4 linked regions of the Caenorhabditis elegans genome follow. The protein of the gene in region 3 interacts with the protein of the main gene of each other region in a pairwise test. Each region holds a gene or a part of one and is shown on either strand. Other genes may lie near its edges.

Evidence for each region.
Region 1: the proteins of rad-54.L (region 3) and rad-51 interact in a two-hybrid assay, tested with the Caenorhabditis elegans proteins (3 studies listed by BioGRID).
Region 2: the proteins of rad-54.L (region 3) and rpn-8 interact in a two-hybrid assay, tested with the Caenorhabditis elegans proteins (2 studies listed by BioGRID).
Region 4: the proteins of rad-54.L (region 3) and tag-52 interact in a two-hybrid assay, tested with the Caenorhabditis elegans proteins (2 studies listed by BioGRID).

Annotation. Positions count from the first base shown.
Region 1 is NC_003282.8:10,280,577-10,287,034, forward strand, and holds rad-51 (DNA repair protein RAD51 homolog), read right to left. Parts: upstream 3,669-6,458; coding exon 3,644-3,668; intron 3,560-3,643; coding exon 3,480-3,559; intron 3,439-3,479; coding exon 3,157-3,438; intron 2,921-3,156; coding exon 2,774-2,920; intron 2,720-2,773; coding exon 2,562-2,719; intron 2,076-2,561; coding exon 1,984-2,075; intron 1,935-1,983; coding exon 1,658-1,934; intron 1,527-1,657; coding exon 1,400-1,526; 3' UTR 1,058-1,399; downstream 1-1,057. Other genes in the region: thk-1 (Thymidine kinase), read right to left, coding at 1-13, 965-991; ebax-1 (SWIM-type domain-containing protein), read left to right, coding at 6,430-6,458.
Region 2 is NC_003279.8:4,173,201-4,178,866, reverse strand, and holds rpn-8 (26S proteasome non-ATPase regulatory subunit 7), read right to left. Parts: upstream 3,549-5,666; 5' UTR 3,545-3,548; coding exon 3,425-3,544; intron 3,372-3,424; coding exon 3,227-3,371; intron 3,183-3,226; coding exon 3,097-3,182; intron 3,037-3,096; coding exon 2,980-3,036; intron 2,871-2,979; exon of another isoform or gene 2,803-2,870; intron 2,513-2,802; coding exon 2,384-2,512; intron 2,335-2,383; coding exon 1,936-2,334; intron 1,890-1,935; coding exon 1,737-1,889; 3' UTR 1,596-1,736; downstream 1-1,595. Other genes in the region: suco-1 (SUN domain-containing protein), read right to left, coding at 1-6; R12E2.13 (MIR domain-containing protein), read left to right, coding at 432-556, 733-836, 946-1,073, 1,123-1,212, 1,276-1,449; mrps-6 (Small ribosomal subunit protein bS6m), read left to right, coding at 4,128-4,172, 4,236-4,381, 4,431-4,509, 4,678-4,896; R12E2.11 (Orotate phosphoribosyltransferase), read left to right, coding at 5,244-5,558, 5,610-5,666.
Region 3 is NC_003279.8:9,062,745-9,071,872, forward strand, and holds rad-54.L (DNA repair and recombination protein RAD54-like), read left to right. Parts: upstream 1-2,334; 5' UTR 2,335-2,342; coding exon 2,343-2,446; intron 2,447-2,860; coding exon 2,861-2,939; intron 2,940-3,012; coding exon 3,013-3,256; intron 3,257-3,299; coding exon 3,300-3,439; intron 3,440-3,538; coding exon 3,539-3,884; intron 3,885-3,957; coding exon 3,958-4,082; intron 4,083-4,127; coding exon 4,128-4,246; intron 4,247-4,290; coding exon 4,291-4,368; intron 4,369-4,415; coding exon 4,416-4,542; intron 4,543-4,590; coding exon 4,591-4,698; intron 4,699-4,743; coding exon 4,744-4,852; intron 4,853-5,163; coding exon 5,164-5,330; intron 5,331-5,720; coding exon 5,721-6,062; intron 6,063-6,489; coding exon 6,490-6,587; intron 6,588-6,708; coding exon 6,709-6,820; intron 6,821-6,863; coding exon 6,864-6,938; intron 6,939-7,229; coding exon 7,230-7,313; 3' UTR 7,314-7,520; downstream 7,521-9,128. Other genes in the region: prmt-7 (Protein arginine N-methyltransferase 7), read right to left, coding at 1-46, 99-223, 315-403; snx-3 (Sorting nexin-3), read right to left, coding at 990-1,095, 1,184-1,404, 1,451-1,516, 1,559-1,654; rsbp-1 (Abi_C domain-containing protein), read right to left, coding at 8,934-9,017.
Region 4 is NC_003284.9:3,672,834-3,681,367, forward strand, and holds tag-52 (Putative protein tag-52), read right to left. Parts: upstream 5,725-8,534; 5' UTR 5,722-5,724; coding exon 5,488-5,721; intron 5,156-5,487; coding exon 4,940-5,155; intron 4,890-4,939; coding exon 4,706-4,889; intron 4,662-4,705; coding exon 4,501-4,661; intron 4,458-4,500; coding exon 4,281-4,457; intron 4,228-4,280; coding exon 3,897-4,227; intron 3,851-3,896; coding exon 3,773-3,850; intron 3,730-3,772; coding exon 3,652-3,729; intron 3,586-3,651; coding exon 3,227-3,585; intron 1,598-3,226; coding exon 1,418-1,597; 3' UTR 1,208-1,417; downstream 1-1,207. Other genes in the region: Homeobox protein ceh-63, read right to left, coding at 414-550, 610-690, 737-796, 841-855; tsp-17 (Tetraspanin-17), read left to right, coding at 8,344-8,412, 8,457-8,534.

The sequences.
Region 1 (6,458 bases), on a different chromosome or scaffold from region 3:
AGCAGCAAGTCATCTGAAAACACAAGTTTAGAAAAACTATTGTTTAAGAAACACTCATGATTCTAAAAATATATAGCTAAATGCGGCATCACATAAACAACGCATAGAACAAGTTAACCATCTTGTTTTTACTAGATCATTGGCTAGCGCCGATTGAGACGAAAATGTATGCAGAGTGTGGAAGAACTGGGGGCCCCGGGAGAAGCAAGCATCAAAATGGCCTGCTACAGAAAAAGGATTGCAGTCAGCTTTTCCGCGTTTTGAGATGAGCGTTGCGGAACCGGTCGCCGTCTACGACCGCCTTTTGCCATTGCAGATGAATATAGAAGTTGGTGTCCGAACGGAACGAACGGAGAAAATGGAGGGACGAAGGGCGGGGAGATATAGAACAAAAATAAGTGAAATTGTTGTTCGTTCTGTATTCTTAATTTTGCATGATAAAAAATGAATAGATGATTTTAGAAGTCTGGCATTGCACAAAATATATTTCGAGCAGTGAAAGAGCAAAAGGAAAACATATAAAATGTCTCGATCTACCATACTAAAGCGGAAAATGTAGAATCAGAAAATAAATTTTTGGCTCAACACGATATACAGTTAAAAATAAACTAGTATATCATAAATAAGTGAACTTTCTTATCAGGAGCCAATTAGTCATCTCTGACGTACAAATATTAACAATAAATTTCAAAACCTAAATAAGAATAGTAAAGATCAAAAGAGGGCAAGATCATGTTGAGTAATTTGAATGAGACGATGACAACAGGCAAGGGTCACACAGCTGTTCAGCAAATGTGCTGTGACCGTCGGTATTGCATAATAAGAATCGCTTTTGAGAGCATAAGTACGGACAGTTGGGTATTTTCAGGCAATTTTCAAGGTTTTTTGTTGTTGCCGGAATTTTACAAAGCAAAAATTCCACTCCACATTTTGCGAATAGGCAAATTAGAGATAATCATCTTACCTCATTCTTGGCCGCTTCAATGTCCATTTCAGTTAGTTGGATCTGGAATTATTGCTAGGTTAACATGATGAACACGCATTTTTAAAATACAGTATTAAAGGTTTCGAAAACCTTTATAAATTAAAAAGAACATTAGCTTATCAATACTGACATAATCAGTTCAACTATACGATTCATACAAAACGACGGGTAAAACAAAAGAGAGAGAGAGAGATGCACAAACCTATATATAATACAGATACAAAAAAGGAATGTAACGGAATAGTGAAACATGAGGGGCAGGCGAAAACTTTTCATAGAGAACATAGAACGCTAGATTTAAAAACGACCCAAATAAACATGATGAATCCGTGAAAGTGTGGAGAGAAACAGAAATGTGATATATTTATCGGGATATGAATGATGAAGTTTGATAAGAAAAAGAAAAACGAACGGCTAGTCCTCGCGTGCGTCCTCAATACCATGATTCGTGATTGAGTAGGTCGCTTCGGCTTCTGGTAAATTGGGTGATTGAACCATTTTTGCGACGCGATTCTCTCCTTTTCCTTTTCGAAGGTACAATCTGAAAATATGAATAACTTAATTTTTCTTCTTTAAAAAATCCTCAAAAAGACCACATGTAATGTTTAATAAAAAAATTAAATATGTTCTCTATTTGTTCAAAATCTTCAGAAAACCTCCAACTATGTTTACCTGGTAGTAGACATGTGAGCGATGATGTGACCTCCAATGGGCTTTTTAGCATCAGCCTGGAACATCGAGGCTCCTCCGTCGACTTGTGCTACAACTTGATTGGTAATAATTACAGCGACACCATATTCATCGGCAAGCTTGGCAAGGCATTTCAGAAAAGCAGAGAGCTTCATCTGACGTTCCGCTAGATCTCCTCTTCCAGTGTATTCGTTACGGAAATGAGCAGTTGCACAGTCAACAATCACAACAGCATAACGACTCTCGGACATCATTGCTCCTATGGCACGAAAAAGTTTATTTTTTTATTTTTTGAAATTTAGATTTACCTGCTCGAATAATCAAAGCCATCAAATGTTCTGAGTTGTATGCACGTGCAACAGCGATATTCTCGAGTACATGAGCACTGTCCATATTGTATCTGCAAGAAATTACTTCGATATTCAAAAAAATGCTACAAGATCCATAATAAGGTAAATTCTCAAATGCCAAAATTCAAGCCATGTGGCGTAAACCAGTAATTGTACAAAATGAGCCATTGCGACTTGTTCTCCAAACGTTTTTATTTCAAACTTAGTGATAGAATATAGAGAAATATTTACTTTATCTGAAAAAAAAAACTTATATTTGTTGAAACAATAAGGAAAAGGCTAAAAAATTGCCTGCAAGTTGAAATTCGCCAAAAAAAGACCCGGAACATCTCTGAAAGTTCATTTACGGCAATTTCCAACTTGCAGACCATTTTTGGCCTTTTCAATTGTTCAAGCAAAAATAACAGCTATTTTCAGACTGAGAAAATATGTTACTGATTTCTCGAAATAAATTTTAATTTTTTTTTAAATTTTCAAGTCGGGAGATCAAATTATGACAAATTCAGGATTTTTAAGAATAATTCTCAATCACAAACCTCTGAGCGATAGCAATAATTCGTTCGGGTCGAAAAGTGGCATTGGTATCAATATACATACATTTTCCCTCACCACCTCCCATATCAATCGGCAATTGACACAAGACTGCCAGACTGTGGCAAAGCTGAGTTTTTCCTGTTCTATATTCTCCGTAAACCTGAAATAAATGTTTTATTGAGTACTGTTGTCAGTTTATCCGTGATAAACTCACCTCAGTGATACTGCCTGTTTCGATACCGCCACCCAACAGTCTGTCAAGTGAAGCAGATCCAGTTCTGATCTGCACCAGCTGGCTTCGCTTCACATGAACCTCGGCTCCCGTCGTGAATCCCATCTGCACGAATTTCATGGCTTCTTTCTGAAATTAAATCATTGAAATATGAGGCCGATGTCTACATGTTCACAGCTGGTCGATTTGCCGTCAAAACTGACCTTGCAGCTGATCGTTTCATTCTTTTTCGGAGCTAACCTCGAAAAATGTATCAACTTTTCTGATACTTTCAATTCAATTAATTGGATTTTGAAAAATAAAGCCACAGAATTTTTAGTTTTTTTCTTTAATTCTCGAATAAGCTGATTTTTTGATATGCTCACCATTATCTTTTCAGCTTTCTGATCACTAATTCCTTTGACATTTCGGAGTTCGCGTCTTGTAGTAAATGCCAGCGATTCGTATGTATAGTATCCAGCTTCTTTTAGTTTTGAAATATCGCCAGAACTGATTCCTGAAGACTCAAGTTTATCGATAACTGTGAAGTTTTCATCTTGCTCCATCGCATTATCCTCGATTGCTGCATTGAGCAAAGCTTGATCAGCTGCACGCTGCTCTTGATCCGATTTCTTTTGACGACTTGCTTGAGCTGACATTTTTGACTCCTGAGATAATTTTAATTAATTATTTTTAAGTTAAAACATACAATTGGAAGGAAAAGATTTATTGAATGCAAATTCAAATTATATAGCCATTTATGTGTACATAGTGAACGTTTCGCAATCCCTAAAATCGGCATTTTTAACAGTGGAGCTTTTTTTTTCAAAAATTATGCTACACATTTACCTAAACTTATTTTTAAAATGTTACCTTCATATCCCCAAGATTGTCCCATAATCAATAGCAAAAGCTTTCTCTAGAGCAACAAAAATTGAGAAAAACATGGCCTAGAGACACGTGCCAAGTCCTTCCTCGAGCCCCCGTTCGCTTGACGAAAACAAGAACTTTCATGTTTTTCACAAGTTAGAACTGCTTTTGCTGCTCTACTATTTTTGTCGTCAACTACTGATTTATAACAGGATTAAGTCCACATATTTCTAGGCGTCAAGTTGAACGAACATATTTTCGAATTTAAGAATCACAATTTATGATTTATAGGTTTTTATTAAGGGTTTTCTTAGATAGATTTTCGTTTTAGAATAGAAAACATGGAAATTTAAATGCAAGTAAAACTGGCAGTAAATACAGAATTCTCAATTTTCAAAGTAGCGCCATTTGAAATTTTTTTTTCCGCTTTTTCGATGGCGCGCACTTGCTGTACTCTTGTTCAACACCTCGCCCTCCCGTCTCGTCCACTGCCGCTCGCGTGTGTGAAAGGCACCGATAGGAACGGGCCAGGGAAAAGGAAAAAGTGTAGAAAAAGACGATGCGCAGACATACAGCAAGGAGGGTCAGTGGACGCAATGGGGAAAAGAGAAGGAAGAGGACACCCAAATGTCTACTATGTACATTGTGTCCGAACCATTTTAAAACCAAAACTGGACATTAACCTTATCTTTTGCCCTTTTGAGCTTAATTTTTATATCACTTTTCTGCCTTAAAGCATTATTTTTTAAAGTACTATTCGTTTTTCAATCACTCGAACTATTAAATCTTTAAAACATTTTTTCTTGCAAGATTCTATGATTTTTGAATACTATTACTTATTAATTTATTAATACTTAGCTTAAATTTATATAATAATTTTTTATCTTGAAAATTGTTTTTCGTTGATTGAAAATTATATTTCAAATTTAGAATTGTTCGCAATTAAAAACGGGTAAAGCATGAAATATATTTCAGAAATCGAACAAAAATCAGGCTTTTTATTTTCCGAATATCAATTTCAAGCGTTAACCGAAGCGTTGTTATTTAATGACAAAAAATTTTGTTCATTTTAGGTTTTCATTCAAGAAAAGGAAGCAAAATTTAGCATAGCTGAAGACTTTTAATTAGTTTAACTCAAAAGCTACGAGAATAATCAAAAATTTAATAAAAAACCGCGCAAATCATTAGAGGATAATTAAGTTTTAAAACTAAAATGACAAAAAATGACAAAAGAAACAATGAGAAATCAAAACATGTTTCCTCCGTAAATCGACATTGAGTACTGTAGCGATTGGTCTCGCAGCGATGTTAATTTTCTTCTGTACTCCTCTCGGATAAATTTTATTATTATTGAACATGCGTATTAAATCGTTCATTGAACGGAAAATGGAGAGAATCGCAAGAAAAAAAATTATGATGAAAGTGCAAATAATTTAGAAAGGCTATGACACAGGTGATTCGCCGTTATAAAATACTTATGGCCACCAGTATTTTAGATGCAATTTGCAAATCGCTAATCTCGCTGCGGGACCACCAACATTCTAGCAATATATTGCTAATTGCGACTTTTAGTGCAAAATATTTGCTTCATCATATTGCTGATGCCTCAACTACATTCCATAAATATTTAAAAAACCGCGAAACACATGTGTATCTACTGATAAACTACATAAAGAAGTGAAATTTGTTAATAAAATCTTTGCATGAGAATTGTAACTAACTAGGGTAATTGATTTCATTTGGGCTTAAAATTAAACTCAACACATGATGAGTGAACAATTGGGATCGAAGTTTAGATCTAGAGGTTTTCCATCTATAAGTGAGCCGGTTACTAGTGCGATCAGAAGTTGTGAATTTGAAAAAATGTTTTTGATTAATATTAATTTCTCCACCAATTAGTTTCCTTTCAAACTTTTTGTCTTTTCTTCTAATGATCCAATTCCGTATTTTAGCCTACTTTCTGAAAAGTTCAGAAAATCTTTTTGAACTCCTTCTATTTCCTGTATTATGTTTCTAAATTTTTTTGGATTTTTTTTTGAATTACTGGAATGGAGATGTTTTAATAGGTCATTTACATGGTTATGTACAAATATTTTGACCAAATTATGTATTTACTGGGCAATATCACCTCTTTCAATAGGATTCTTTCTTTGTCCTCAAACTTTTCAATTTATGAGACAGAACTGACTGATTGTAATTTTATACCCAACTATGCAAATAGTCAATTCAATCATCTTAATTTATGTGCCAGTGATTCAAAAAAAATTCCAAAAAAATTTCGAATAAATTTTCGAATTGAAAATTTTAACATTACTTTGACCAGAAAGTTTGAAATTTTTTTTTTCAAAATTTTTATTTTGAAAACGTCTTAAAATGTTACCATGTTTATAACGCTTATTAAAAAAAAGATAAGACCTGAAAAAAACTCTTCTGAGTCATTTTATGAATCATTGATTTTTGTGAGAAAATGGCCTGAAGGGAACTTTAGATCTACTTTTTTTTGATTCAAAGTGTCCGCAAGCAGCTAAACTTTTCGTAGTGACTTTTTTTTGGAAAATGTTCTTTCAAATGAAATATGCTTCATTTCAAAGTCCATTAATACGTTGAAATACTTTCCTTGTAAGTTGAAAACTGAAGGTGTATCTTTAAAAATAAACAGCTTCTTGGGTGTTTGTTGTTTCCTAATAAATCTCTTAGATTTCTATGAATCCCTCAAATAAACATTTATTTTTTTCCAGACTTTCGTGTTCTACTCGTGAGTCCACTTCACACCTGCAAACGTTGGTGGTATGCTGCCAAATGCAGTGGGCAACAATGT
Region 2 (5,666 bases), 4.9 Mb from region 3:
CTTCATCACCTGTTCCACCTTTCTCGCTCACCCATGCGTCGTGTTTTCTGTTGAGCTGTAAGTAGAAGGTTTAAGTTTTCAAAAGAGAACAAATTTAAAATGGAAAGTGATAAGACCCTTATGATTTCAAACAAACATAGATTAGAAGGTCTCGTGATATAAATTTTATAAGCGGTGTCGCGTCAATTGGCCGCCAAACAGCTAAAAAATTGACTGCGGAACCACAAGGTGTTGGGAACAAAGTACGTCAAGAGCGGCTACTGACGTCATTGTCGATGGTGTACGTTGGTTGACGCACATCTCGTGCAAAGCGACGTTGATTTAATTTTTGCAGGAGCTTCTCTTTTTATAATCTTTTCTGCTACATTCTCTATGAAATTCTAGAAAGTTTGGAATAATAAAACAGAATATTATTACAGGGAACCAAAATAATGCCGAAATTGCCACTACTACTCAGTTTTCCACTTCTATTCTTCGCCTCATTTGCATACGCCGATGAAGACTTTGTGACGTGCTACAGCGTTTTAAAGTTTATAAATGCTAATGATGGCTCTAGGTACGTGAGCCAGCTTACTTTATTAAAATTGTTTGCACTAATATTAGAAACTCGGTAAAGTTAATGACACTAAATAAATAGTTGCCACCAACAGTAAATATTAAAGAATATCTCCTGAGAAAATGAGCATTTTCCCTTCGAAAAAGTAGATTTTGTTTGAAACAAAAAGGTTTCAGGTTACATTCGCATGACGTAAAATACGGAAGCGGGTCCGGCCAACAATCTGTGACTGCTGTAAAAAACTCGGACGACATCAATTCTCATTGGCAGATTTTCCCAGGTTAGTTATTTGGAAGTTAACGCCTAGTAACTTAAACTATAATAATTTGTGTATATTAATGCTTTTTGAAAAAAAAGAACAAAGAAAACCGAACATTCTCTTACTTCAGCTTTGAACGCAAAATGCAATCGTGGAGATGCAATCAAATGCGGAGACAAGATCCGTCTGAAGCACCTCACCACGGGCACGTTCCTGCATTCCCATCATTTCACTGCACCTCTCTCCAAACAACATCAGGTTTGTTTGGCAATTCGAGAAAACAAATGAATAATTTGATTTTTTAAAGGAGGTCTCCGCTTTTGGCAGCGAAGCAGAAAGTGACACGGGAGATGATTGGACTGTGATTTGCAACGGAGATGAGTGGTTGGAATCCGAGGTTTGTTACATTCCTTTTCGATATTATCTATACGTTTTGAATACCCTATATTGTTCACTTTAGCAATTCAAACTTCGCCACGCTGTCACTGGTTCATACCTCTCACTCTCGGGACAACAATTCGGACGCCCCATTCATGGACAACGGGAGGTCGTCGGCACCGACTCGATCACTGGTGGAAGTGCATGGAAAGTTGCCGAAGGCATTTACATCAAGCATCAGCAAAAAGATCTTTAAATCCACATTGGATACTCCTAATTTAATAAGCCATGCCTTTCTTCGTGATATTTACCATTGCTTTACGGGGATGTTATCTTTGTTATTTTTTCTAATAAAGTTATTAGATTTTGTCTTCTGAAAAATTATTGGCAACTGATCTAAATACCGGGGATAAAATACTACATTGATGCACAGAAAAATAAAAGACCGAATAAATTAAATGTATATGATGCGATAGGGTAAAAGAAAAAGAGATTGGTGGAGAAGTGGACATGAGGATACAATCAATGTTCTGAGTTTGTTTATCACTTCTTTGGAGTATTAGGGGTTGATGATTTACTGTCCTTTTCCTTTTTCTCATCCTTCTTTTCATCCTTTTTGTCTTTCTTATCCTTTTCATCCTTCTTTTTCTCAGCTTCGCCAGTTTCCTGCTCCTTTTCAGCCTTCTGGAGAGAGATCTAAAAATCATAGCTTTTAATAAATTTTAAAATCTTTGCAAATCACCTTGTTATCAATTAAGTTGTGCAAAGCGACCACCGATCGTACAAGAGATCCCATATACACACACATGAGCTGATCATTAGTTTGCACATTCTGTGAAACAATGTAGTCTGGATGAGTGACGTCAGGCAGGAGATTGAGAACTTCTTGAACATAGTAAATGACATGATGGTTGACTGGAAGAGTTCCGCGCACAATATCATGAAGATACTTCTCAATGGATTCAAGCTGTGATTGCAGTCCTCTCAAGCCCATAAGTTGATCGGTGATACGCTGTGAAAGAGTTCCAGCAGTTTGGTCCTTGATATCTCTCAAAAGATGCTCGACTCCAACTTCCTCAGCTTCTTCGGCTCCGATATCTGAAGGCACATGCTCGAAGGTTTTGATTGGTGGAGTTCCATCCTACAAAACAATATATTGAAAAAAAATTAAACAGTATTTTGAAACGTACATCGTGAACTTCCTGAACTTCGATGTAAGCCTCTGTTGGCAATCCGATGTTCTTTGGCTCAGCATCGATAATTACAAGAACCGGGTTCGGGCAGAATCGTTTCAATTGCTCGTTGATAGCAATATCGTTCTGTAAAATTAATAAATAAATAATTAATTAAACTGTTGAAGTTGAACACCGTAATTTTGCAAAAATCAGGGTGGCACAGAAAGTAAGGCGGAGCGTAATTTCGCAACACTGTGACACGGTTTTTTCTTTTTTTTTTGTCAGGTATCCACTGCATTTTTTTCGATTTTTTTCAAAAGTTTTGATTTGATTTGTTTTAAGTTTTTTTTTTTTTGCTTTGTTGTTATTTGCACAGTATAATTTCAAATTTAAACAAGTTCGCGCTCCATCGATCATGAAACCGTAAAAACGGGTATCAGAACGGATATTATCGGTTCATAGAGATTCAGAGCCCAGTGATCCGTATGCAGTCATCACAAACCCGAGTGGAATGAGAAATCGAACCAATGGCTGGAGGCGCAGAGTGTGTGCCTGCTAGCCACTAGACCACTACGCGCGTTGTCCCCGTCTCTTTTTTGCCTCTTATATACCTTGTGAAGTTTTGGACCCGTATGATACCATCCGACGATTTTTTCCTTGGCGGCAACCTGTAAATTCATTTTTTTTGTTTAAAATTAAATAAAAACGAGATTTCAAAATTCACCAACCTTGTAGAACATTCCATACATGCTCTCCAAATAGTCCATGTCGAGGAACCATGTACTTTTATCCTTGTCATCTTCATCAAACGGAACTGAAAATTACTTTATAAGTAAGCAAATAAATTTTTAAAAATACCAGCAAAACTGTTTCCAATATCCAGAGTTTTGTCCTTTTTCATGGACCCCAAAAGGACTCCAACAACACGCTTCACGCTTTGAGTTTTGCTGACACGATTGAAATGATCAACAACACTCAGAAGAACCAATGGATGGACGGTCACCTTAAATAATTGTGTTTATTTAAAATCGAATTTTCTCGCTCAGGTATGCTAACCTTATTAACGGGAAGGTTTGCATGAACATTTCCAAGGCAATGATGGGCTCCAGCCTTTTGTTTGAGAACATCTACAGCTTTGACAGTCGCCACATCTCCGTCTTTGTTAGTTGGAGCCATTCTTCTAAAAAACGAAAATAAATTTATCACAATAAAAAATCAACACATAACAGTTTAACACGTTAATAATCGACATAACAGTGAGAAACGCTTAATCATTGCGGAAAAACCTGCCATAAACGTATCTAGAATATAATTTGAATGAAAAAATGAAAAGAAATAAATAAATAATGCTTAAAAACGACAATTTCCCGCTTCCCGTTCAAAAAAGAAATATCATCGTTTAAAGGCGCATGCAATTTCCCCGTAAATCGACACTGGCCGTGGTGAGACCCATCCCGTATTTCCACTTTATTTTTCCTGGTTCTTTACTTTAAAATTAACTTTTTTCGATTGCAATGACGGAAAATTAACTTTCTAATGCGAAAAATTGAAAATTGAACATTTATTTTATTGTTCTAGTAAATTTTTGTTTAATAATCTTGTGTTCACAGCCTGTCGTTGAAAAATGGCAACTTCCTATTTTGGAAAAATAGCTTGTGCTGTGATTTCTTATCGTGATTTTCATTGACATATTTCCAAATTCGTAGCATAGAAAATATTTTCAGTGAAGAAAAAGCATTCATACTGGGCGAGAACAACAATGCCGTTTTATGAAGTGAGCATGATCACACGATCTCTGTCAAAGGTACAGAAAAAACACGATGAAGCGTGAGAATGTGTATAATCATGAGAATATTCTTTATTTCAGGCAGATCTTGTTAAAGCTTTAACGCGTGCTGGAAACACTTTGCTGGATCACGGAGCAGTAATTGAAAAGGTTGAGTCACTGGGTCATCGAGATTTACCGTATAAACGGCTGGCCAAACAGACAAATGAGCCCGTCTACGCTTCAAAGTAATATTTAAAAACTATATATCTTAAAAAAATTGTTTGTTCTTTGCAGTTTCTTCCTCTTCAAGGCGCACATGTCTCGGGAAGCTAGACAGAAAACAAAGTCTATTTTGACACATGACCTGGACACGGTGAGTTAGTTAAATTTCATTATATATTATCTGATGTTGATGTATGATCGGGTCTTATTGTTTAAAAGTTTTCTTTGTTTAGATTCATTTCGAATGTTGTTTTGTTCTTTTTCTAAATTAATTTGTCACTTTTTGGTCATTACAAAAATCTGAACCATATTTTTTCAGGTTCAAGTCGATCTAATTCAAGTGGACACACTGCCGGCTCCAAAGGTTGAATGCAATCTGGAAGAAATCCTCAAATCTCCTGCCGAACGTCAAGCAGTCAAGGATTTGAGAGAAAATCAAAAGATGGGTCATTTCACGCGACAGATGATCTACAAACGTACTGAAAAGGAGTGGAAGAGTATCCCGAAGAGTTACCCAATTGCTCCGCCAAGGCCCTAGACATGAAATTCGTAATCGACTTAAATTTACGGGTCGAAGATCGCCGACAATGCACTTTTGGCCACACCTCCTTATGATAGTGTTATCAAACGAGGCTATCTTTTCGTACTTTGCGTTGTCTGTTTTCTCGATTCTTCTGTACAGTTTTAGGATTTATAGAGTGATTTTTGTTTTCTTAAAGTTGAATTGATTTGTTTTGTTTCATGAATATCACATTTTTATTTATTTATTTTTCTTCCTTCAAATCACGTACCTGGTTCATCTGACCAAGTGATATTTGTTCACTTTTCTATTGAAAGAAAATAACCTGTTTCACATTGATATTCGAAAATTGTTAAAAATTCAGAATGACCGCCGCCACCGCTACCGCCAACGGAAATCACTCAATCGAGGATCCAGTCGTCATGAAAGTCCAGGCCGCTTCACCAATCCAGGAAACTGATTTTTTCGAGAATCTCTATCAAATGGAATGTTTTCGCACTGGGGAGTTCTACCTCAAATCTGGCCAGATGACTCCAATCTACATAGATCTTCGCAGAATAATGAGCTCTCCTCGTGTGCTCCGAATGGCTGCTCAAGCTATGTGTGAGAAAATTGTCGCCTCAAACCTCAAATTCGATTATGTTGTTGGAGTACCATATGCTGCCCTTCCACTTGCTACCGTCAGTTTTCAGAAATAATTCACACTAAAAAATGAGACTCAATGTTTTTAGCTTGTATCTGATATTCTCAATGTGCCGATGCTTATGAAAAGAAAAGAAGCCAAAGCC
Region 3 (9,128 bases):
GCTCCTTCTCGAGCAGCCATTAGTGAAAGAAGTCCAGTTCCAGTACCTGTAAATAGTAAACTTTAAAAACCGAATAAGTTGAAAACTTAACAGCTAACCAATATCTAAAACATGAACTTTCCCATCTGTATTTTCATGTTTTTTCTCAGCAATCGTAGTTTTTAATCCTGCGAGGAACTTGTCATTTCTATCAAAATCCAGAATCATATCTCCAAATCGACTTCTGAAAATTAACGTTTTAAAGCAAGAAAATGCGAGAAGTATTGTTTATTAAATTTTATTTCTATGCGGAATATTTTTTTAAAGTTGAAAACCTGGCAAGTTCCTGAGCCATATCATAATCCTCTTCAGCCACAACCCATTCTCGTTCGCCGGTTTTTTGATTTATCTTCTCAAGGAACATTTTTCAGAAAACCCTGCAAATTGTCTATCTTAAAGATATGCTCGTTTTAATGATACACTCAAGATATTTGCGATATGCACACAACTGCCAATTTACCACTTTAAAATCCAAAGAAACGAAATCAAGGAACGGAAGACTTATTTTTCATATTTGTTCAAATAAAAGGGGTTCATGCAATAAAAATAGTGCAATCAATTGGGAAATTGGGAAACTATACACAAAAATGTAAAAATAAATATGAAATAAACAGGAGCCAGAAAATGGAAATCAATGGGAAAGAAGTGGTGATGGGGACAAAGTACACAATTTCGAAAAATACCGCATTTTGGTGGAGGGATGGAAACAATATTTTGATGGGCCGAGATTAAATTGGAAAAAAGCTTCTAAAAACTCACTTTTTGAAAACTAAATATCTCAAAAGATCAGAAAGCGTTACTCATTTTTTGTTATGTAAAAATATGATAAGAAAACATTATCATTTTTTAAAAGTTTCCTTCTGTTTATTGAAACAGACAGCGTTAAAACTATAACTCTGGGTATTTTGAGATTTTTCTCGTGAGCGGAGAATTTAGAAACATTTTAAAATTTAAGCGGTACGAATTTTGCCAGGCACGTAGTTTTTGTCAATAGTTGGCTCCTGGAGGAAAATATGGAGAGAGCGTTCGTTTTGAGCAAGTGGATGTCCAGCAACCCTGCAAGAACATATTATTAAAACTTTTAGAAATGTGAAAATTTTCTGAGTTCATTTTGATGTCCGTATAGTTGAACAGTTTTACGTACTTATTGATGAATAACTCGAGAGCTTTGCGCCTATTTTCAATGAATTCCTCTTCAAAAATTCCATCATCGGATCGGAATGGCAGTTGCCGTTTGAATGATTTTCCTGGCAACGTTGGAACCACAATCTTGCTATCTCGCTCTAGTTCAGCACGAACCCATTCGAAATCACTGTATCGGCGACGCACGCTTGATTCTTTCTGCTTGAAAACGGGGAGATTCGACTGAAACAACGATTTTATTATGCGGTCAGTGTTAATCTATACTTACTCTCATTCTGATTTCGTAATCCGTGTAGCGCATTTTTCCAACACCATGAGTGATAGGATTGATAACCTGCAAGTTATCTTGATCTAATTCATTGATTTTTATTCAAACCTCAATTTCAAGGAAGTTGGCCGGCGGGGCATATGCCTCGTCCAGCGTTTGCCGTTTTGAAGGGATCCGCTGAGTTGCCGACGCGCCGGATGCCATTTGCACTGCAAATATTCTAAATTATATCAAAGTTGCTTTGAATTGTTTATTTAAGTATCGATTTTCACAATATAAACAAAATAAAAGTGAAATTTATGTTGGAATCCAAAGCTTTAATCGACAACATGCGAGAACATCGTTTGCTTTTTGTTTCGCTGTTCGGCAAACTAAAATGGAAAAAATAATATGAAGCTGTGAAAAATCAATAAATAAAACTGGAATTTCAAGGAAATTACGGCAAAAATGACTCATCGCGCGCCGATAAACAAAACGAATCAAGAAATGAAAAAAGTGGCAAAAGTACGCAAACACTTTTGTGTTAATGCACACAAAAAATTCAACCGTACCTCAAACTGAAATTTCAAAAGCAGACACCGCAGATTCATGGAATGAAAAAGCAGTGACTCGCTATGACTCAAAATTTTAAAAAGATTATAATTGATTCAAAAGCAAAAAAATGTTTCACAACAAATCTATGTTGTAAAATAATTGTTAAATTGAAAATTAATAGCTGACACCGCCCTGTGTCCGTGTTTCGTCTTCTTCGAAACTTTGTTTTCGTTCAAGATGGCGCGGCGCCGTTCTTTTTGAATAAAAAGAGCATTTTAAAAATTTTGTTGAATTTCTGTAAATTCTACTTGTTTATTCAGTTGTTCTGCGAAATTAAAGATTTTCTTAGTTTTCAGGAATGCCAAAAAAAACGTTCGAAAATTTAGAAGATAGTCATGGAAAAGATGTTAATATCCCAGTTGAACTGCCAAAAAGGAAACGAGAAGTTACACCGGAAAATTTGTGAGCTTTTATAAAAAATTCAAATTTTAACACATACCGTATTCCCTCTATTAGTCTTGCATGCAAGACTAATAGAGGAAATACGGTAATAGTCATGCACCCCTATTCTTGCCAGGCCAGCAGTATTTTGTCAAAACTTCAAAATTTTCGCCATTTTTTAGCTAAATTAAATTTTAAACTGTTCAAGTAATTGATAAAACAATAGAAAAGCATGTATTTTGCATGATTTAGACTGTTTCAAGTCAAAATTTTGACGATAAATGGCCAATTTAACAAAGCTATTGGATCTTCGAAAATTAGTCTTGTAGCCTCTAATAGTCTTGCAGTCCCTATTAGTCTTGCACCCCTACGGGTCTATTGAAAATTAGTCTTGCATGCAAGACTAATAGAGGAAATGCGGTATATTATTTTCAGACCTTCCACAAGCTCTACTGCTCCAACACAAAAACGGAAAAGTCTAGGATATTCAGGACGAACGGAGGAACCGAAAAATGTATTAATATTTTTAGTTGCAATGAAATACAATTCGGAACTTAATTGTAATTGTAATTTTTAATGTTTTTCAGATACACAAAACCTTCATTTCCCCTTTTTCTACGTCAGTTTCTCCTTCAAAACAAGGTCTTCGACGACGAAAGAAGGCACTGCCTGCCATAGAACCACCTGTATCTGTAGAAGAAGCAAGTCCATTACGTTTTGTGAATATCGATGTATTCTCTAGACGTATGGCTTCCGAATCATCAGATCACGATGCTATGATTGCGAAGTTGTTGTCGAGAAAGTTTTCAATTCCGATGGAGGGATATATGTGTAAGAAAACATGTAAAAATGTTTATTTTAAACGAGTTTTCAGTATCTGGTCGAAGCCTAGGTCTTGGTGGAAACCGTCGAAAATGTGCTCTATTTGATCCATATCATGAAGGTGCATTGATTCTTTATGCTCCTGAACATCTTAGTGAACACGCACAACTCAAGGAAGATAAGGATCGAAAGGTGAGAATTTTAGCTGCGAGAATCGAAAAAAAAACATGAATAAAAAAAACGACTCAAATATTGCAAAAATATGAATGTCCATTTTATCAAATTTTTCAGGTGCACGTGGTAGCCGATCCGGTTGTTGGAAAAATCCTGCGTCCGCATCAAAGAGATGGTGTTAAATTCATGTGGGATTGTGTGACTGGTATTAATATTCCCGAATTTCATGGATGTATTATGGCTGATGAAATGGGTCTTGGAAAGACACTTCAATGCATTTCTCTACTTTGGACACTTCTACGACAAAGTCCCGATGCGTGTCCAACAGTTTCGAAGAGTATTATCGTTTGTCCAAGTAGTTTGGTGAAAAATTGGGATAAAGAAATCAAAAAGTGGTTGGGAACACGGCTGAATGCGATGCCAGTGGACAGTGGAAAACGAGAACAGATTATTGCTTGTCTCAGTGAGTGAATAAACTTGAAATCTTGAAGAAAATGTTATAAACCCCTGAAATTAAGTTAATTTTCCAACTTCAGATTCATTTATGGCGGATTCAAAAATGCGTTGTGCCATCCCTGTTCTCATTATTTCATATGAAACATTCCGTCTTTATGCGAATATTCTTCATTCTGGAGATGTCGGAATCGTTATTTGTGACGAGGTAGATACTGTATTGTTTTGACTCTATTTAAAACGAGCTTTTCAGGGACATCGACTCAAAAACAGCGAGAATCTGACGTATCAGGCGTTGAGTGGTCTCAAATGTGCTCGAAGAGTCCTGATTTCGGGTACACCTATTCAAAATGACTTGTTAGAGTATTTTAGGTACTATTTGTTCAAAATATTCAATTATTTTTAATTAACTTCAGTTTGGTCAATTTCGTGAATCCCGGACTTTTGGGTACTGCAAGTGAGTTCAGGAAGAAGTTCGAGAATGCTATTCTAAAGTTAGTTATTTTTATTCCCAATTTTTTTAATCCGTGATCTTTTCTAGAGGTCGCGACGCCGACGCAAGTTCAGAAGATCAGAAGAAAGGTGAAGAGAAAACGAAGGAAATGATTTCACTTGTAGAGAAATGCATTATTCGAAGAACATCAGCTCTTTTAACAAAATATCTTCCGGTATGATATGAAAGTTTCTGATTTCTAAATAAAATTATTTAATTTCAGGTTAAATATGAGCACATCATCTGCTGTAAAAACTCAACACTTCAAGAGACACTCTACAATAAACTTATCGAATGTGAAAAACAAAACCGCATTGTCGAAAAGGACAAGGTATTTTGTTTGAAAATTCAAAAAATACAAATAAATTGTTTTTAGGGTGCCACCGCATCTGCTCTTTCGTTTATCACTCATCTCAAAAAGCTTTGCAATCATCCATATTTGGTTTATGATGAGTTTCAAAAACCTGATAATAGGTTCAGAAACAGTGAGTTTAGAATTTCAGATTTATAAAAATGTATTCAAAATCAAGAAAAAATCGGAGCATTTAAAATCGGAAAAAAAAGTTCAAAATTTAACTATAAATTTCAATGTTTCGTAAAGCTTTGTTTATGCTGATGAAAAAAAAAAGAAAACGTATAATATTCTTCAGAAAAAACCAAAATTTTAAGATATTTTTCGAAAATTCAAAAAAATTTTTAATATCGGAAAAACAAAAAAAAGGTTTCGATTTACGATTTTAGTGAAAAATCGAAAAACCGACACCGTTTTTCACAAACTTCTGAAAATAATTTTCAGAATGTCTATCCATATTCCCTGAATCATTTAACCCGAAATCATTTGATCCATCGTTTTCTGGAAAAATGAAAGTTCTCGATTATATTCTCGCAGTCACTCGCAAAACAACTGATGACAAGTTTGTTCTCGTATCAAACTACACACAGACAATTGATCAATTTATGGAGGTAAGCGAATTTCCAAAAAAAAAATGATTTATGATAAAAATCTAGACCGACTTAAATGTGGAGTTCGCTTCAAAAAATCATAAATAGTCTCAAATTCAGAAAATTCACAACGGAGAAAACGAAAAAAAAAGTCAACTTTAAAAAATCAATTTTCCATGTTCGGCTAAATGTTCTGTTTGAATTTCCTTCAAAATGAGAAGCCCACTTTCCAAAAAAACAAGGAATTTAAAATGTCGATTTGTTTTTTTTTTCGCGATTTGTTTGCTTTCTTTTGTGGGTTTTTTGGAATGTATGACTATTTTGGATTTTTTGAAGCAAATTCACCACCTTTAAAATCTAGACCGACTTATAACGTGGTCACTTAAACTTTGAAACTTCTTCACTTTTCAGCTGTGCAAACTTCGTGGCTATGATTTCGTGCGCCTTGATGGTTCAATGTCAATCAAACAACGTTCCAAGATTGTCGATACATTCAATGATCCAGCCAGCACTATCTTCTGTTTCCTTCTTTCTTCGAAAGCTGGTGGATGTGGTCTAAATCTTATTGGAGCCAATCGATTAGTTATGTTTGATCCGGATTGGAATCCAGCGAATGACGATCAAGCAATGGCGAGAGTTTGGAGAGATGGACAGAAGAAAATGTGTTTCATCTATAGACTTTTAGCAACTGGATCAATTGAAGAGAAAATGTTTCAACGTCAGACACATAAAAAAGCATTGTCATCGTGTGTGGTAAGATTTCCTCTTGTTCATATAATCTAAAAATGTTCTAAAGACTACTAGAACTAAAATGTTAAATTTTGCGATTTTGTCAAAAAATTCGGTTCCCCGCTTCGACTTTTCTCAAATGCAAATGAGTGTGCGCCTTTCAGGAGTACTGTAGTTCTCAATTCCTCGTTATCGTGAAACTTTTTTTTAATTTTTTGCTATTTCTTTTTCGCCTTTTCAAATACTGTATTACATGTATCTTAATTTGCTGAAAATTCTGAAAAAAAACCTAGAACCACGGTACTCTTTAAAGGCGCTCGCCATTTTTAATTGAAAAATTGGTCGTGTCGAGACGCGGTAACTAACTTAATTTTAGAGTGAAAATTGCAGATTATTATGTGGTTATTATTATCAGTATCTGGGTATTTAATAGTTATCTTAAAAATTTCAGGTTGATGCGGGTGAAGACGTAGCTCGTCATTTTAGTTCCGAGCAACTTCGAGAACTCTTCAAGTTGGAATCAACAGTGGCATCGGATACACATGAAAAGTAAGTATCAGAATGAAAATAATATTTTTTATAAAACCGATTTTATTTTTGGTGAATTTTTCTTCTGATAGTTATAATAATGTTATGCATTATAATGTACAATTGTATAAATTTCTTTCAGATTAAAATGTAAAAGATGTATTCAAGGAGTTGAAAGTGTTGATCCACCAACCAATGCGGACTGTGCAAGTGATTTATCGAATTGGTTTCATTCTCAGAAATCAGCTAGAAAAGTTTGTATTTATTATCTTTATTTTTAAATATTTTAATTTTCAGGTGGCTGATAATGTGCTCCGAGCCGTCTTCGAATGTGGATCGATCTCCTTTGTTTTTCATCAGAAATCGCACAACGTAGGTTTAAAAAAACTACGTCTATGGTGCCAAAATTACCAAATATAATAGTAAAATGTTTCAAAAAAAAGTGGAAATCAAAAAGTGACAATTGCTCAGTTTTTGTCACTCAAAATTTTGGAAGTCGACTAAAACAATTTTCCAAAACCGACTGGATTTTTTTTTTGGAAATTCTTTCGAATTCTAGTTGTGTAGTTTATTTTTCTAATTCTGTAATTTTTAAATTGTCTGTGATATATAATTTAGAATCATTGAATTAATATTTCCATGCTTCAAAATAGCGTTTTGCAGGTTGAAGTCAAGAAAGTTCAGGAAAAAGTTGAAGAAGTTGATGAGGACTACGTGCCTTCTGAAGCCGAAGAAAACGACGATTAGTTAAATGTTTCCAAGTTGAAACAAATCTAGAAGTCTCCCTATTTCATAACATAGACTATCTATGCGATGAAAACGGGACATGTTATATTGTTTTGTTATTTATTTAATTTGTTTCTTTCAATTTTTGTTCCAAGTCATCCCAATATCATTTTTATCGCCCGATCTCATGTAAAATACACCGCCTGCAATATGAATTTTCAATTTATTTTTCAAATTCAGACAAAAAAAAGACAAACTTTGATCAAATTGTGGGTGGGTTGGAAACGAAAGGGGTAGTTGGTAGTTTTTTTTTGCACAAAAATACATTGATACGATGTACAAATTTTCAGAAAAAAAATTCATGAAAAATGTTGAGAAAGAGGAAAAAATTATGCAAAAAAAGACATTATTTTGTAATTTGAGGGAAGAAATTATGCCTATTATTATAATAAAAACTTTAAATTTTCCGGGAAAGGTCAGGCGCCAACAGGTATGAAATGAATATATTATATTTTTTGAGCTTTGATGATGTAAATAAAACGGAAATGTTGATTATCGATCGATTTTTTTTTCAAATTTGAAAAATCAAAATCGACAATCTTCGACTTAGACAATAAATATGCAAAATGTCGCAAAAAATTCAATTTTTTGGGGGAATATTTTGGTCAGAATCAGTTCACTTTTTACAGGTTTGAGTTAACCTATTTGAGGTAATTGACTAGAAGAAATTTTTTTAAAAATATGGAAAAGTTACAAAACTACTAGGCGATTTTACAACTATTTAAATTTAAAATTTGAAGAAAACACTTTTTTGTGGCTTTAAGAATGGAAGACACCAGATGGAGATGAAGCCAAGCAATGTCTGCACCTGTAAAATGTTTGGGTTACTGTAAGGTTACTGTAGCTATGAAGTTCTACATTTTTAAGGTGGTGTAGAGTAAATGGAAAGTTCGCTTTTAAAATATCCAGAAGAAAATCAGTACAAATGAAAAATACCTAACTCTAAAAATTGGGAATGAATTTCCTCCAATAGGAAACGCCACGCCCACTTCTAATTTCATTAGTGCAAAAGTGGGCGGGGCGATTCGCTGATTGGTCTTGCAGTTCTTATTTTTCGAGGAAGTTTCAAGATATTTTTTTTTTTAATCATAATTTGAAAATCGAGTAAATTTTTTTTTGTTTTTGTTTTTTTACTTTTTGGAAATTCAGACTAGTTTGGGTATTTTAAAGAAAAATTCCCACAATACTACACCTCAAAAGCAATTTAATTTTTTAAAAAGATTATTAAACGCTATTAGCGTACACTAGATTGTTCAAAAATTAATTTTCTGAAAAAATATTATTTTCCAATGCATTGGGAAGAAGACTCGTAATTTTTACTCAATTTTTCCTTTAAAATTTTTTGAAAAAAATTTCATTACAACTCATTTTCAATAATTTAAGTTCACAGACGTTATTTAATTTTTTGCATAACATTTTTTAAATTTATTTCTCTAAAGAATTCAGATCAAAACTTCAAATACTTACCTATAAGAAAGAAACATTGGCGTAGAGAAAAACGTGAAGAAAACCGAAAGAAAAGTGGGCGGGGCTTGTTGATCCGTTTTGATAATTGTGAAATTCGAGCTCATTATTCATTTTTCATGCATAACTCGTTTTCAATTTTGAACATACGCACTGCGGTCGACACGATGTGGCTCTCCTTCTTCGTGGTGTTACTTGCAACTGAAATATTTAACATTATTTAGGGCAACGTTGAACTTTTTGCCGAAGAGTTGTGAAATATATTATTTTGTATTTGAAAGTGCCAGTGGGGATTTCGTCAAAATATACTCG
Region 4 (8,534 bases), on a different chromosome or scaffold from region 3:
AAAACTAAGCTGAAAAACGCAAGGCTCACAATTAAATCTAACATTTGACCTTAAAAACTAAGCCTCAAAAGAGAGCTTCAGATTTCAGGCTAAAGTTTTTAAGCCTATGTTGTGAGGCAAGCTTGTTGAACGTAGAGTTTCAGATTCAACTTCTAATATAGGTTTTCAGGCTTTCTCAAAATAAAGGATATGTCAGTCAACGAATTTCTGTTCAAAATTTTGAAAAATGCAAAAATTATAGGTTTCGCCTTTTTTTCATCAATTCTACTGTGAAAATTTTTTAGCGGATAAATTTCAAAACTGGGATGTACCAACAATTTTAACATGAAAATTAAAAAAAAAAACATTTAAACTTGCTTCGACCATTACTAATAAAAACGTTTATTTTTAAAAATTTTTTTGATCAAATAAACCTTCGTTTTTTAGTTCTCCGGTTCTGAAACCAGGTCTTCACTTGACATTCAGTGAGTTCAATTGTTTGAGCCAACTCGCCGCGTCGGTCTTTGCAGATGTATTCATTCTTTGCAAATTCCAACTCCAAAAGTGTGACCTTAACATATTAAATTGAGTGGAAAATAATTGGAAATGTCAATTATTCTAATGTTTCACCTGCTCCGATGTGAAAGTTGTTCTTTTAGTCGGTCGATTGCTCCTTTTCGGTGGCGGTTTGATGTTCTTAATTTGTTGGGACTAAATTGGAAAATTGATTACTTTTTAAAAATTATCAAATACTTACCGAATTGGTGTCATTTGACCATGGAAAGAAGTCATATGCAAATTTGTTTGACGTCATATTCTGACAAAGGGAAGGTTAAAAAAATAATATTATTTCAAACTTACCGTTTTAGACGTCATGCTAACAACACAATGAGCAAAACAGGGGCAATGAAAGCTCAGAGCAATTGGATGTTTAATTTGAAGGAAACGACTTTATGACTTTTCAGGATGGGACATTACATGGAAAAGAGCTGTGCAATTAGCATGGAGCGTCGTTGGAAAACACGTCGTTAATTGTAGAATTGTAGCAGATCCTACCCTACCCGGTAATAAAGATTCCAGCGTCAAACAATTATATCTATTTGTTCATTGTAGGCTTCTGTTCTCTTTTCCAGCCTATCAATTTGCAGAACAAAATGCTTCTTGTGATTCATGACTCATTTCATCAAAAATTGTTGGTAGGTACCTGAAAACATGTTTCAAAAGAAGTATCAATAGCTGTTTATTGATAACATAGTGAACAGTCTGAACAGTTTCTGGGGAGAGATATTTCACGAAAACATAAATTTTTAAGGGAAAAATGGGGAGAAAATGTGTAGAAAAAATAGGAACGACACAATGCAGAGATCAACGATCATGAGATGAAAACATACAAATAGATGGACCAAAATAGCTGAAAATTTAAAAAAAAGAGGAAAAATTACATAATTGCGCAACTATTTCTGATTGAATCAATTATTGAAGACTTTTGATTTTTAATAGCCGGTGGTGCTGATTCGGTCTCCCACCACGGACGTGGACGCTCTCCTTTGACTTTGATATCAATGATGTCGTCCTCATCATCGTCCTCAGTGACCATGTTGAATGGCTCCAGAGAACGCTGAAAATCATTTTTTGTTAGCTTGTATTAGTTTTTCTAATTTATTGAGAAAGGGTCTAATGTAAAGGTTCCACCGGGCTTTTGAACTAGACATGTTTTATTTGAAATACCATAATTAGAAATTGTTAAATATGGATTTTAAGCAGGGAATTTTATAATTGAGTTTGCGATGAGTACTCGGCGTTTGCCGCCAGTTTCCTACCCAAGGCTTCGCAACTTCTTACCCAAGCCTTGCCCAAAAAATAAAAACATTTATAAGGAGTTGCCAAGGCTTGGGTAAACCTTGGGCAAGAGTTGGGCGCCTCATAAATAAAAAAAGTCGTGGACTGCCTCGTCGTCTCGAGGCGTCGCCCAAGTCTTACCCAAGTTTTGCCTATTTCTTACCCAATTTATACGTGTGTGTTGAACTTTGATCGCATTTCCTGTTGTTCCGAAGTCTTACCTGCTGAGCCATGATGGTCGCGCGAAAAGATGCACACTAATAATATATCGTACTCATATTCTGATAGATATTTTTGAGGAAGTATCAGACACATCGGATTAATACGGTATTCCCACATACCTTATTTCATTTGTTTTCAAGTGTGCTCCCTAATGATTCTAAGTACAGAATTTACAAAATTACTGTAATTCATGTTTGTTTCATGTCTTTCAATTTTATAAAAGTTTACATTTCAAAGGAACATTTTAGTCTTAGAAAAATTCAAAAGTTGATGCATTGGATTGACTGACTATTATTTGACTATTGGACTGACTAGGAGAAGAATCATCCTGAAGATAACTTTTCTTTTTATTTTTAGATAAATTATTCGGTTTATTAGACAGTCACAGGAAATAAAAGGCAAACTTTGTTCGTACATTTTTTAACAATGTTAGCCATCAGAGCAAAATATTTAGAATTTGACTTTGAAGGGACAAGTTTTCCTGTGAATTCTTTCAATTACATCGAAATTCCTCTATTTTAAATACAAATTACTCAAAAGACAAAGTGTCGATTTACGCTAAACATTGCGCATGCAGGATTTCGGAATCTTGTTTGTTCTTTACATCTGCAAACTTGGGTAAAAAGTTGGCAAGACTTGGCTAAGACTTGGGCAAAACTCGGGCGAGGGAGTTTACACTAGAATTGTTGAAGTTGGGTAAGACTTGGGCATACTCTGGGTTAGAAGTTGGCAAGAGTTGGGTAAGAAGCTGGAAAGCCCCAAACTTGGGGAAGAAGCTGCCGGGAATTGCCGAGTAAGAGCAGCAACATCGGAGCTCTGGGGATGTTCATGATGGTAAGTTACCATTGGTAACATGCAGATTTTTTTATTGGAAAAATCACCCTCGTAATTTAAAAAATATGTTTCGAGTTTCTGAAAATTGCATGCTTCTGGTGATCAAAATTCCAGATTTTGATAAAATTCAGACATCTTCCAAACTTTTTTTAAAGTCATGAAAGTTATATGAATTGGCAAATACCACCACCACACATGTCCTCGGAGCACCCACAATGCACCGCTTATTCCGAGCATATTTGCAAGCTCACCGCAAACTCAATTCTAAAATTTCGAAGTCTGAAATTTATATACAACAGAAAATCAGGTGGCACCTTCAGTCTCTTCCCTAGTTAACTCTTCAATCACCAACCTGTTGGTAGCTCAACTTGCGAATGTCGTCCACTGCAAGATGGCGACGTGGTGGTTCCGAAGCCACAGAGCGACGAACCTCGCTGAAATCGCGTGGGCGGCGATCCTCTTCATCATAACTAGCCACACGTCTGATTGGAATCTTCTTGTCGTCCGAAACAAACTCCTCGTCATCAGTCCAAACATAGTCCCGATCACTGTCGTAATCGTCATCAGTTGGTGTTCTCGACTTTGGAGTTCCCACAAAAGCATTAAGACCAGTGTACGGTTGTGTCATGGTGACATCATTGAGAACAAGATGGCTGAGGTAGTTGTTGCCGTCAGTTACATCTGCATTTTTATTTCTCAGAGTAGACGCTCCTGAAAATTCACGCATTGCTTTGAAAGCCTCGAAAAACTTGAAAAACTAAGCCTTGAAAAACTCACTACGTTTTCGAAAAGACGAACTTCTTGGGGAGGCTGTCCAACCAACGCCTGATGGAGTGTTCTCTTGCAGAGTGGCTTCTAAAAATCCAAATTAATCAAAATCTCAATATTTCTAACATACTCCGCTTCCGCTGAGATAGATTGGGAGAAGATAGCATGTTGAATACGTCTTCTTCTTCATCCTCCAAAGTAGCAACTTCTGAAAACAAATTAACAATTACCGGGTAACATATTCATAAACGTACTTCGCTTCCGTTGATTCGAAGCAATCGTGGAAGTTGTCCACTGTCCACGAAGAAAATCACTTTCCTCGAGCTTCGGAGCTGGCTTCTTTCTTGTCAACACACGACTGATGTTGCCCGTCATATCGGCAGTTATCATATTACGGAGCTTGTCTCGATTTCTCTGCCAGAATCCTTTGTCAAAGATGAGCGACTTTTGCTTGAAACTCTCTTTCCGCAGCGTATCACGAAGCTTCTTTGCGTTGTCAATAGCATCGCAAATCTCATTGTACCACTCCGTAACACCTCCGAGTGAGTAGGCTGTAAAGTCCACACCGACGTCTCCACAACGAATCTGAAATTTGAAGTTACCATTTTCGAGTCTTTAATAATAATATAACCACATACAAATATGCTCCCTCCTATATCATCAAGTTGGACAATGCAGTGACGGAGTGAGAGAATTGCAGACGGCTCGTATTTGCAGAGTGGCATCACACTGATTCTCTTGATTCCGTAAAGAAGAATATCATTGAACAGGAAGACCACGGTTTCCTGGTAGTTGGCTGATCCATTGAGCTCTCTCTGAAATTAACCAAATTAGGATTGATACTAAAATGTATATTACCTTGTACAACATTCCTTCCTTCAACAATACGCGTCCTGGCTCAAGAATGTGCCCATCCAGACCAAAATTCAGTTGGATTTGAAGGAGTCGTTCTCCATTTTCATAAGCTGTCATGCAGGATTGAATCTGATCGGAGAGCCCTTGCATACCCGACAACGCTTCTGAAAAAAGTAGCTATAAGAAAATCGTTCCAATAAATTCTTACTGTAAAGGTTTGTCATATCATCTTTCTCAGTGCTGTAATTCATCAAATTTTGAATGAGCATGATATAGCGTGGAATGCGTTGAATTGGCATGATGAGGTATGTCTGGAGTTTCTTTCCATCAACTCTGGGGTCTTCCTCAATTTTGGTCAGAGCTTTGCGGAAGTCGTTGCGAGACATCAGTTTCTGGAAAGTAAAAATAATAAGGTATCATAGATTTTATTGTTATAACTAACCGCAAAAATTTTCAGCGAATTTGGATAATGGGATGCATAACTGGTATAGAGTTTGAGGAACGGTACAAATTTGGTAAAGACCTCGGCGATCGGCTTGCACTGAAGGGATTCCAGAAGGATTTGATGAGTCTTGCAGATTGCTGATATCTCGCCGAACATGGATCGGAAGCATTTTTTTGATTTGGGGCACCACAAGTTAAGTTGTTGAATGAATATCTGGAAAAAAAGATTTTAAGAAGCTTTTAGAAGTTTTTGAGATACTTATGGCTATCAATTTAATAGATGCGTTTTATAAATCACGGTTCTCGGTAAGTCGTACCTGACAAATTTTTGTCATAGATTTTTCAGGTACCTCGGTTGCAAGTGTTCGAGCATCATTTCATGAGAATATCAAAAAGCGCAAACGCATGATTCCAAAAGCAACCGGCAATAGCAGCGAAACGCCAAAATTTTTGGTAACCGGCTACTGTCGGCTGCCAAACCGAATGTTACAAATTTCGGCAATTTTTAGGCAACCGGCATTCTGGTTTATATAATTAAATCCTGACCTCATCGACGATAGTGAGCGCTTTCACATAGGTTCTCTCGGTATCATAAATTTCTTGTAAAATCTGGATTTTCTCTGTCGGCTGATTAGCATACAGTGTACTCATGTCAAATGGCAAATAGCTGTTCATCTTATGTGTGAAATAATCAGTATTTTCATCGGGAGCCTTTTGCAAACTGCCTTGCGACGAGTCACTTTGGTACGTGTAGTAGTTGAATTCTTTGCCCGCGTTCATAGTCTGAAAAACAACAGAGTTAGATGAAAGGAAACATTTGATTTTAAATCGAAAAAAAAAGACATTGATAATGAAGAGAACTACCCGGTAAACAAGACTCTGCAAACAGAACACGGGATAAAGAGGGATAAAAATCAATAGATTGAGTAGAACGGCCGGCAGGTGTTCTCCCAAACGACCGCCACAACACCATCGCATTCAAATTCGCGGTGGCATCAGAGGAGCGCGTTTGCACACTCATCGCTATAGTGGGGGTTGGCCATGCATGTCCACATGATGCAAGGAAAAATGAGAAGAGTGAAGAAGGGGTGGGGGGGGGGGGGGCACTATGTGAGAACACGGAGGACAAGGACGTTTTTGCGCAAGACAAATGATCAAATGCCGTGCTGTATGTTGTTGGTAGATGCTACGTCATCTGGGAGTAGCAGAGTAGAAGGAAGAGATGCGTTTGTTGGGCAGTATCTAGATCAACAGGAAATGATAAATCAGTAGTGAAAATTTGGAGTCTTTAAAAACTGGAGTCAGATGATTTGATATGATAGGAAGAGCACATGGTCTCGAATTTCCCGACAATCACATGAGTGGAGTGGAAAATGGAATATTATCAGATGCTGGCGTTTCAAACAAGAGGACTGTACAAAACGTAGAAACTAGTGTGAACAAAGACCATTGTACAACAAATAAAATTGCGCGTTTTCCCGTCGTTTATAAAATAAAAAATAAGAAGCCATTAAATGAAACTACTAAATAAATATAAAATAATAAAATATATTTCTCCGTTTCGTCCTTAAGCTTGTCAAAGCTGTCTAAAAGCCCTCTCTAAACAGCATGTAAATTGAAAGAAATATACTGACATGAGATTTTCCATATTTTGTTGTGGAATAAAATGTAATTACATCAAACCACATGAGAAATAAAGTGATTTTCAGAGAAAAACACCAACAACAGCTGATGCCAAATATCAATATGTAAAATCTATTACTGAAAAATAGATAGTTCTCAGAAATTTTTAAAATACTATTTAGATTACACGTGATCAAAATAGGCAAAAAAACCAGATAATTTAAGAAAAGTCTTCATAATATTGTGGTTTTTTATAGATTTTTAGTCACCGTTTTAGGGAATCATTGAGGTTCCAGAAATTCAGTTTTTGTCAAGGATTAGAGCATTGGTGCATTTTTGGAACATAAATTTTTGAAACATAATCTTAGTAAAAAAAATTGTACAGAAGTTTTAGTCGAACATCGAGAATGTAATTAAACCAGTATGAAGATTTGTAAATAAATCTTTGAATTTTGGAAAGGCGACTCATAAACCTCAAAAAACTTCCAGCTCAGATTTTTTGTAGAAATATGTTTGTATTAAAGCAGGAAACACATTTTCAAAAGTTTTAGTCTTGGGTATTATTGGAACATATTTAAAATGCAAATTATGGAAAAAGTAAAGTGATTTTGCATGAGGCGGAAACAACCATTTCTAAGCCTTAAAAAAGGAAAAAAAAAAAGCAAAACACGATCAATTGAAATAGACCGAATTTGACAAATGAATGGAAATTTAATTTATTTCCAAAATGATAGTCTCATAGTCCACGAGGGCTTTCGAAATTAATTGAATATTTAAGTTTAGGGTACTTTTCATTTTCTACCCCGCATTTTAAAAGAACATTCAAACCATTGAATTATTCGAATTTTATGCTCACGTGAATGTTCATTTTAATACTATTTTCATTCTAAGGCTTAGAAAACAAAATTGCTAAGCATAAATTTTTAAAAGTAAATGTTCCAGAAAAATCTGGGGTAAAAAAGGAAATGTACCAAATTTAGTCCAAATAATGCCTACCGGTGAGCATGAATTCAGAAAGGGCACAGTTTTTCACCAATTCTGAATACTGTTTTGTTATCAATTTTCACTTATTTTTTTCAGGAGACCAACTTCTGCTTAAATTTCAAATTTTTTATAACTTGTAGCATTTTTCAGGAGTCCTTGCCCATCGCTTAACATTGTCGGCTAGTGCCAATGCAGTATTCCACCGTTCGACTTTATTTGTTCACAACGAAGAGATGATGCATAGTATGAGGTCAAGAATTTGTTTGCCAGGTAAATGCTCTCCTGTCTCTTCCTCTTTCTCTCCGGTCTACTCGTTTGCGTGTGCTGCGTGGCTCGTTGAATGGTCAGCTGTGATTTCAATTTATCAGTTGGCAACGCGGTCCGCCAGAGTTTCAAACGGCAAATAGATTCTTTAATCGCTGCGTGTGGCCGCCGAGTTATCTTGCTTCTTCCGGAAAGTTTAAAGTTTGATCGCTTCATTCACTAACGAAATTCTAAAATACTCAAATCTTATTTTTGCACCTGAGGAGAAAATGAATTATTTATGGCGCTTTCTTGCTAAAAATTTAACAAAATGCATTATTCTATATGTAGAATGTCATAATTTTGGTTCTTCAGATTTTCCTGCTTATGTTTACTTTCTTTTCACGTCTCGTATCTCTTACTATTTTCTCTGGGACAGTTAGATGCATTTTTTGAATATTCTGATATTTAACACCTTTTTGTTCTTTTGAAGCGTAATTTCTTATTCTTTTTTAACCTTACATTTTACTGAAAAATAATTTCAGGCAGTGCATGGCAACAGAACGTGATGGCGGTGGCTGCCTTCGGGTAGCTGTTTCAATTTTCTCAATATACTATTGGGTTTGTGCCTGAACATGTTAAGTAATTTTTTAACTTTCTTTCAGCTTTCTGCTCTCGGTCACGTGTTTCTTGGACTATGGATGCTTCTCGACCCGAAACGAAACTACATCTTGGATTTGGTA